Linked DNA regions of Macaca mulatta. The protein of the gene in region 2 purifies or fractionates together with the protein of the main gene of each other region. This does not show direct contact. Links are inferred from orthologs where the notes say so. Each region holds a gene or a part of one and is shown on either strand. Other genes may lie near its edges.

What was found. The genes of interacting proteins can lie anywhere in the genome.
Region 1: the proteins of ARHGAP17 (region 2) and CAPZB purify together in Homo sapiens (affinity purification with mass spectrometry; 3 studies listed by BioGRID and IntAct, with this or other methods). This does not show direct contact. The link is inferred for Macaca mulatta from reciprocal best matches to the Homo sapiens genes ARHGAP17 and CAPZB.

What each region holds. Positions count from the first base shown.
Region 1 is NC_133406.1:221,631,197-221,635,533, reverse strand, and holds part of CAPZB (F-actin-capping protein subunit beta), read right to left. Parts: intron 3,792-4,337; coding exon 3,715-3,791; intron 2,290-3,714; coding exon 2,187-2,289; 3' UTR 2,177-2,186; intron 1-2,176. UniProt on the Homo sapiens protein: F-actin-capping proteins bind in a Ca(2+)-independent manner to the fast growing ends of actin filaments (barbed end) thereby blocking the exchange of subunits at these ends.
Region 2 is NC_133425.1:24,493,164-24,498,207, forward strand, and holds part of ARHGAP17 (rho GTPase-activating protein 17), read right to left. Parts: intron 4,006-5,044; coding exon 3,772-4,005; intron 28-3,771; coding exon 1-27. UniProt on the Homo sapiens protein: Rho GTPase-activating protein involved in the maintenance of tight junction by regulating the activity of CDC42, thereby playing a central role in apical polarity of epithelial cells.

The sequences.
Region 1 (4,337 bases), on a different chromosome or scaffold from region 2:
TATAATCCCAGCACTTTGGAAGGCCAAGGCGGGAGGATCATTTAAGGCCGGGAGTTCGAGACCAGCCTGGGCAACACAGTGAGACCCCATCTCTACAACAACAACAAAAAAGAGCAAAGTCAAGGCTTTAAAAAAAAAAAAAAAAAAAAGCTATCAATCCAATTTACAGATCCGGAAACTGAGGCCCAGAGGAATGCCCGCTAGCAATTCTTTGATCATTTTGTCAAATTTACCCAACATATTGGTTAGGCAATGACTTCCTAAAAGTGGGTTTTATAACAGTTTAGAAGCAGTGGAAGGAGTGGGTAGAGGGCTGCCCAAGAGTGCTACGGAGGGTGCACTCAGCTGGACTCTCACGTTTGATTCACACCAGCCATGGGAAGGAAGAATCAGAAAAATCAGTCCCCAAATGCAAAAATGGGTAAATAGAAGTGAAGCAGGGCCCAGGAGAAGCAACAGCACCCAGATTGAGTTCCGGCTACTGAATCCCTACAAGTCACAGGAAGAGCCCTCAAAATACTCAGCAGGTGCCACAGACAAGACCTGGAAGCAAGCTGCATACAACTGAGAAAACTCCCAGGAGAAACGCGGACATTTGGTTCATGCTGGGGAACTACACGTTTCTGAGTATCTTCCCAGGACTGTCCCTGGCTCTGCAGCAGCCAAAGGCATCAGCCCTCATGACCCTCAGGCTCCAAATCTCAGCCGATTCCCCAGGGGCTTCTTGCCAAGCTCACAGCGGGAGGTCAACATGGCCAGCAGGAGATGCGGTGGGCAAAGCAGCAGCGCACAAGACCCCTAGCCTGGGTGGTCACTGGCTCTTCTGGGAAGGAAGAGCCAAGCCCATCAGGTCTTGGCTGGACTGCACAAAGGAGAAAGTTCCAGAGCCAGAATCAAGTTAGACACAGGAAGTTAGAAGTGAAATGGTGGAAGGCGGAAGGAGCAGGGGGCTCATTTAAGGGACAGAGCTTGGGAAGGTCACGGCCAAGCACCCTCGAATCAGCGCTTGGAGACAGAGCTCGCCTCTGTGGGAGGGAGGAGTCGTCCTAAGCAGACCTGGCTGTCAGGGTTTCTACGCCAGGACGCCCCCAGTGGGCGGCCAGGTAACTGCACCATCACAGTGTACCTTAAAAAGGGTTTTTTCTCAATGCCACGATGGAAATGCCTGATGGCCCCACTGTGAGGCTGACCGGAGTCTTGGGCCTTAAGTTGGCACACACAGACTAGACTGGTGCACTTAAGTCCCACGGCCTTGGAAAAGCAGCTCCGCCTGGTTTTCTAAGTGCCTGACCCCCACCTCCACCTTGGAAAGCCTGCTGCACCCCCTTCTGGGGTGGGCCTTCAGTGTGGAGCCCCTGGACCTGGACTCTGCAGCCCCAGCTGGCAGGGTTCCAAATGCCTTCTTTTACAGACAAGTTTCCCTCCTGCTCTCCAGGGATGCTGCCTCCTTCCCTACATCTGGATCTGTCACAAGCTCAAGTCATGGTTCTTGGCCATTACCAACAAGCAAGACTATTTTCCTTTCCATCCGCAGAACCTGTTTAAAGGAACAGCTGCAGCTCGTTAGGGGCGGAAGGTTATGCTGGTTGAGGCCGAGTCTGCACTGGGCGTCCAGGCAGCTCCAGCAGAGCATCGGGGCCGGCCGGGGTGGAGTCCAGCCCTGACTCTGCCCTCCAACCCCAGAGACTCCGAGATCAGAGCGGAGGTCACCCCTTCCAAGCCAGCTAGCCCTGGACAGCCAATGTACCGCTGAACAGGGGCTTATAAGGCTTCTAGGATCCCTGCACCAGCATCCGAGGCTCCTCTGAAGCATGGGGAGTGGACAGCACGCAGACCCCTGCCCTGGGGACAGTCAGGCCGGTGCACACAAGGGGCTGCTGCTGGAGAGGCAGCATCCGTCCCTTGGCCTGGGTTTTTTCAGAAGCAAAAGCCAAAAAATCAGCCGTCTTCCCCACACCCAACCTCCGCCCAGAGTGGAAAGCGCACACACGTGATAGGTGCCGTGTTACACAGGGCCGCGGCTACACGGGAATGCGGCTGCGCACCGGCCGGGAGCACACGTGGGGGTTAGTGGTGTTTTAAATGGCCGCGCAGCAGCAGCCGGACCGGCAGGGTCTCGGCGGGTTGGTGAGTCCTGTTTTAGTGGGGAGGGTCTCGCGGCTCTCAGGCAGGGTACCTGGATCGGCTTAATTATCAGGCTGGATGTAGATCTGGCGCTGGGTCAGCACTTGAGAGAGCTCCCTCTGCAACTGCTTAAACTTTTGGTTGTCAGGGATAGCATCAATAGATCTACAGAGAGTGTTCAAGATGAGTGGAGTGGGAGGGAAGAGAACCACGAGAAGCCAGGAACGCAGGGGGCCACAGCTGAGGAGGAAATTCAGGGAGACCCACGAGGCGGAAGGGGGGTGCCGCAGCGGCTCTGGGCTGTAGAGTGGTATCACCGCTGCAGAGGCCCACGCTGGCGGTGGCCGTGGTTTTCAGGGGCTCGCCACCACCACCCATAGGCTCTTCCGCTTCTCTCCCCCACTTCCCAGCCACTGCCTGGGGACTGTGTAGGTTGGCTGGGCGGGAAAGTGCGTTTGGTGTATTGGGCAGTGGCTGCAGGTGGCAGGCCTAACACCACGGACCACTGGGCTCTGACCCTGTCACAGGTCATGAAGACCAAACCTCCCCCAGGTGGGCAGGAGATCAGAAGACCAGGGTCCAAAGAGGAGGACTCCTCTGTTTTAAAACTATAAAGCAGGCGACTGAAATCTGTCACCCACCCCAGTCCATGAGCTGGTGCAGCAACAGAACTGCAACCTGCCTCTCCTCTGGGCTGGGCTGTGAGAGCTATGTCACGGCAGTGGGTGAGAGGGCTGGCTGCTAAGGGCATAGCATGGCCCGACTCACATGGTGCTGCTGGACTGCAGAGCGTGTTCTAGATTCACCATCTCAGCCGACCCTGCCTCCTCCATCGGACAAGGGCCTCTTCGAGGAGTGCCAGAGGCCACACAGCTCAGGATGACAGAGCTTAGGGGAGATCCCAGCCTCCTGACTCCAAGGCCAGTGCTCACTCCACAGCTGTCTACTGCCCCCAGCTGGGCTCTGGCCTCATGTCAGAGGCCTGCCTCCTGCTCTGTCCACCATGGACCTGGAGGGTCCAGAGAGCCCCCAGCTTTTGTTCAGGCTGACACTGCAGAGACGAGGGCACGAGGTGGGTGGGACAGTGCAGGACATTGGCCACTGGTAGCAGAGCCCTGGCAGAGGACGTCAGAGAGGCTGGGGGCCCCCTGAGAAGGCCCGGGCTGAGGGCCCTGCCTGCACATTGTGCTCTGCTGTCTCGGAAAGCAGGCCAGCCAGAGGCGGCCGGGCTGCCTGGGATGTAGTGTCATGGCTCCCCTAGGCCCAGGCTGGAGGGGCTGGGCAGATTTTTGAGTGGGGACTGACAAACTGCAGGGCTGAGGAGGCTCTGGGGGCAAGGGTACCAATGGCTGCTAGGGTGAACGTGCCCCAGAAAACGGTACAGGTAGGGACCGACAGCTGCTACTGAGAGTGCAGATGACACACCAGGACTTTACTTTCCAAAATCACCATCATGATCATCCTAGAAGAGGGGCACTGCAGCCTGAAAATGAGAAAACCGAGGCCCAAGACCACACAGCTAGTAACTGGCAGAGCCAGGGTTCAAACCCCTCTTTCTGCTTCTAAAGCGTGTGCTTTCTGGTACATTACCTCAGCCCATTGACGATATCCTTTGTTTTTCCAAAGTAGATCTCGTTCAGCGTACTTCTGATTTTATTTTCCATGTCCTGGAAGGGAGGTCGGTCAGCGCCTTGGCAAACGGTCAGGAACCCTGAGGCCAACGCCCTCTCTCCACCCGCCAGCCCTGCAGTCCCCACTATGGCCACTGGAGGGCAGCACACACCTGCTCTGGGGCACGGGTGAGCGGGCTCCAGGCTGCCAAGACCCCACCTGCCATCTGTGCTCCAGGCGCCTTCCCGTCCTCAGGAAGGGAGGAAGCCAGTACCCAGGTATTGGCGGCCAACTCTGCCCATGCCTGGGAGCTGGTCTAAACCACATCACCGCCCCTCAGACTCCCCACTAATTTTGTGAACAATTCTGTGAAACCGGAGAGCACCTCCCTGCCTTCCCAAACAACGTGGTGACAGGAGGGCCAAGGCAGCCGCAACTGAAGCCACTCCAGGGCCCACTGGCATTTCTGGCATCTGCTTCCTCTCCCAGCGCAGGGCCCTGTTCACACCCAGGCGATCAGGGGAGACAAGACCTAGTGCGCCCCAGAGCCAGCGCCTGAGCAGAGTCTTCTGGGAGCCCGGGTCGGGGGGGGAGCAGGAGGT
Region 2 (5,044 bases):
GATGCAGGATCCTTAGGTTTGGGAGGACTAACAGGAGTAAAAGTCCAGTTAGACGTCAGACAATCCCAGCTAGAAAATCTGAACATACTGCACATAAAACATAAGATTCCAAGCAGAGTTTTCACTTCGGCAGGAAGGAAAAGGATCTGAAATTCTAACTAGCTCGCACTGGGCTTATAAAGCTAGTGTTTACTTGGTGCCATATAAAGAGCTAATGTATACTTGGTGTCATTTTTTTTTAAGAGATGGGATCTTGCTATGCTGCCCAGGTTGGTCTCAAATTTCCAGACTCAAGCAATCCTCCTGCCTCAGCATCCTGAGTAGCTGGGACTATAGGACTATTTATTTTATGAGATTCATTGCAACAGACTGGACTCCAACGACTCTGCCACTCCAGTATCATGAGAGAGATCATTTCAAAGCAACCAATGCAGAGTTTTCAGCTCTACTGTGTTTGGACTTAAATTGGGCAGTACTATTAATATCATGAAAGGGCTTTTAGATGTTGACATATATACTATACAAAACTAAGCAAAAGCCACGGTAAAATAAGACTCTAAATGATAAAGGGCTTGATTATTATCAATAACTTGAACTGAAGGAGAACTCAGAGGCTAAATGACTACTCGAAGTCCAGAGTTGGTGGCAGCAGGACAGAGATCAGAACTCAGGCTTCCTGTTTCCTGGCCCAGAACTTTTTATACCAAACATTAAAGCTCCATTTTGTCAAGGTCACCAAAGAGTGAATAACATTAGTGTAATGTACATTAAAATACCTACAGAATACAGTATAAAAAAACAAAGAGCAGGCCGGGCACAGTGACTCATGCCTATAATGCCAGCACTTTGGGAGGCTGAGGCGGGTGGATCACTTGAGGTCAGGAGTTCGAGACCAGCCTGGCCAACATGGTGAAACCCCGTCTCTACCAAAAATGCAAATATTAGCCAGGTGTGGTGGCTCATGCCTGTAGTCCCAGCTACTCTAGAGGCTGAGGTGGGAGAATCACTTGAATCCAGGAGGTGGAGGTTGCCGTGAGTCAAGATCATGCCACTGCACTCCAGCCCAGGGGACAGAGCGAGATCCTGTCTCAAAAAAAAAAAAAGCAAAATGACTGACATTCCATTTGTCCTTCTGCGTTAAGACTAATTATTGTCTTAAACAATACATTTAGCCTTGATTAAACAAATTGAATGTCACAAGGAAATGAAAATATGTAAATTGGCTGGTCGTGGTGGCTCATGCCTGTAATCCCAGCACTTTGGCAGGCGGAGGACGGAGGATTGCTTGAGACCAGGATTCAAGACCAGCCTGGGCAACACAGTAAGACCTTGTTACGACAAAAAATTTTAAAAATTAGCAGGGCATGGGGGTGCACGAGTATAGTCCCAGCTGGGAGGCTGAGGTGGGAACGTTGCTTGAGCCTGGGAGATTAAAAGGCTGTAGTGAGCCATGATCACGCCACTGCCCTCCAGTGTGGGTGACAGAGCAAGACCCTGTCTGAAAAATAAAACAAGACAAAAAACAGGCCGGGGCAGCAGCTCACGCCTGTAATCCCAGCACTTTGGGAGGCCAAGGCGGGTGGATCACTTGAGGTCAGGAGATCGCGACCAGCCTGGCAAACATGGTGAAACCCCATCTCTACTGAAAACACAAAAATTAGCCGGGCATTGTGGTGCATGCCTGTAATTCCAGCTACTCCGGAGGCTGAGGCAGGAGAATCATTTGAACCCAGGAGGCGGAGGTTGCAGTGAGCCAAGACTGCACTACTGCTTTCCAGCCTGGGCAACAGAGTGAGACTTTGTCTCAAAAAAATAAATAAATAAAAATAAAAAACAAAAACAAGAAAAAGAAAATAAGTGAATTCGCTTAGACTTTTTCCCTTCAAACAAAACAATTTAAACCAAAACAAGTATACACATGGGGTACAATTATTGACAAGCTAACGTGGAGCCTATGACGTGCATGGGAAGCCCTATGAAGTCTGAAGCCTTAATTTTTTTTAATGCCATAGTAAACTTTCCCAAGGTGAGGAAAATGGAATTCAGGAATGCACAAAGCATTCAGCATTCAGTTTAAATGGTGAAACAAGATTCCTATCTCATGAGCAGCTTCACACACAACGAGGCTCTCCCTTGCTCATCCCAAGGACGATGAGAAAGGAGTTCTTCCAAGGCAAATTCATCACTCTGCGTGGGAAATAAACGTGTGGATAAATGGCCTGTCCTTGTTCTGTGTATGTTTATTTTACTTCGTGTGTGATCATTCGGTGTGTTGTGGGTGGCCAGTGCAGAACACATGACAACAGAAATTTTGGCGCACGTGTGCAGAGCTGAGCAGCGGTCAGTTCCAAACCACAAGGGATGCCACCTGAAGTAGCCTCTGGTGGTTATCTGCCTGGATCAGTGTGGAGAACTGAATTAATGTCAATTAAATAAAAATCTCAAGTTCTGGCCGGGTGCAGTGGCTCACACCTGTAATCCCAGCATTTTGGGAGGCCGAGGCAGGTGGATCACCTGAGGTCAGGAGTTTGAGACCAGCCTGACCAACATGGTGAAACCCTGTCTCTACTAAAAATACAAAAAAATTAGCCGGGCATGGTGGTGTGTGCCTGTAATCCCAGCTACTTGGGAGGCTGAGATAAGAGAATCACGTGAACCCAGGAGGGGAGGTTGCAGTGACCCAAGATCTGGTTGCACTCCAGCCTAGGCGACAGAGTGGGACTCTGTCTCAAAAAACAAAAACAAAAACAAAAAAAAACTCAGGTTCAAGGTGCCTTTTCTTAAAAGTTGCTATCCATTTGCAGCCCACTCCAGGTGGCTAATCCAAAGGTTAAGCAACTAAAAGAGACTTTTAAGAAAATCTACCAGGCAGGCATGGTGGCTCACGCCTGTAATTCCACTATTTTCGAAGGCTGAGGCAGGAAGATTACTTGAGGCCAGGAGTTCGAGATCAGCCTGGGTAACCTAGGGCATCTATGTTTACCCCATCTTTACAAAAAAATAAAAAAAATTAGCTGGGCATGGTGACAAGCACCTGTAATCCCAGCTACTTGGCAGGCTTACGTAGGAGGATTGCTTGGGCCTAGGAGGCGGAGGGTGCAGTGAGCTACGATCATGCCATTGAACTCCAGCCTGGGCAACAGAGCAAGACGCAGTCTCAGAAAAAAAAAAAAAAAAAGAAAGAAAAGAAAAAAGAAAAGCTACCATCTTATTTTCCACCTTGGACTCATGGATCAACTGCCCTACAAGACTGAAATCTGGGGGTGTGGAGTGAAGTCTTAGTCACCTCATGTGCCCAGCACAGTGGCCAGCACATATCAGTGACTTGGTCAATCTGTCTGACTGAATCAATGAATGATGAGTGAATAAATACTAGTAATACTAAAATTTAACTAACTTGCCACATTCAAATGCTTCCTGGTTAGCACACTGGATGACAACGAACAGATAGTACATAAATGCTGACAGTGTCCATCAAACAGGTGACAGAGGCTTAACACACTATGAGACACCCACTGCCTTCCGGTTTCCAGCACCAAAGCAGTGTGGCAAAGAACGCAAACCAATGTTGCTTTCTTTGGAAAACATAAAAAGAAGCGAGCCATTCATAGTCTTTTTTTCCGTCTTTTGCCAACCAGAGGAGTGAAAGCAAATCTGTTCACTCCATGCTGGAGCAGTTCTTTGGGCCGTGGATGCCGTGCCCAAAGGCCACCACCTGCAAGTAGGTTGGGGCGTCCAGCCTCCACTGCCAGCAGAAGTCGGCCTCCTTACCTGCCGTCACCTGGGCTCGGCCCCTGCTCCAGTATGCCTGCAGAGGAGGGGACAGTCCCACCCCCAGAGCTGCTTTCAGCCCTAGAGCTCTGGGGAGGGGGCTCTGGGCCAGCGGGCGCCACGGTGCTGCCATCTGTAGGTGGGAGTGGCGGCTGGAAAGCAGGGGATATGTGCTTTCTATTTAGAGTGCCACCCCGCCGGTGGGCCTGGAAGTCCATAAGCTTCACACCAAAGCTACACAGAGAGAAGAAACAGTCAACACACCATGCGAGCAGACTACTGAGACAGAAGCCCATCGGTCCACATGAGTTAAAACCACACATGTGGACAGCCACCCAAGTTGCCCAGCATGCATGAAGCGGCAAGAACCAGACTAATGGCCACCCCCGATACCAAGGCAAGCAACTCTACTTGGCTTTGAGCCCGAGCAAAGCCAATGACCCTGGTACTGTTCAAAGTCTTTGATCAATTTGGGTGTGAGCAGCTAGAAGCAAACAGGCAGGCCTCATCTTGAATGACACCATATTACTGTGTTTATCCCCATACTTCCTCTGCCTTTTTTTTTCCCCCCCTTTAGACACGAGGTCTCACTCCACCACTCAGGCTGGAGTGCTTAGCACTCCAGCGGAGCAATCATAGCTCACTACAGTGTCAAACTCCTGGGCTCAAACTATCCTCCAGCCTCAGCCTCTGGAGCAGCTTGGACTACTGGCACACATCACCATACTGGGATATTAAAAAAAATTTTTTTTTTTTTGAAACGGAGTCTTGCTCTGTCACCCGGGTTGGAGTGCAGTGGCGCGATCTCGGCTCACTGCAAGCTCCGCCTCCTGGGTTCATGCCATTCTCCTGCCTCAGTCTCCCGAGTAGCTGGGACTACAGGCGCCCACCACCACATCCGGCTAATTTTTTGTATTTTTTAGTAGAGATGGGGTTTCACCGTATTAGCCAGCATGGTCTCGATCTCCTCACCTTGTGATCTGCCCGCCTCGGCCTCCCAAAGTGCTGGGATTACAGGCGTGAGCCACCGCACCCAGCCAAAAAAAAAAAAAAATTTTTTTTTAGAGACGGGGTTTCACTACATTGCCCAGGCTCTCAAACTCCTGGCCTCAAGTAATCCTCCTGCCTTGGTCTCTCAAAGTGCTGAGATTACAGGCATAAGTCACCACGTCTGGCCCATTTCCATACTTCCTAGTTCCCATCTCAAATCTGTTTTTGGGGAATGAAACAGAAGTCAAGTCCAGAAGGCCTACCAATGGTAGTATAAGGTTAT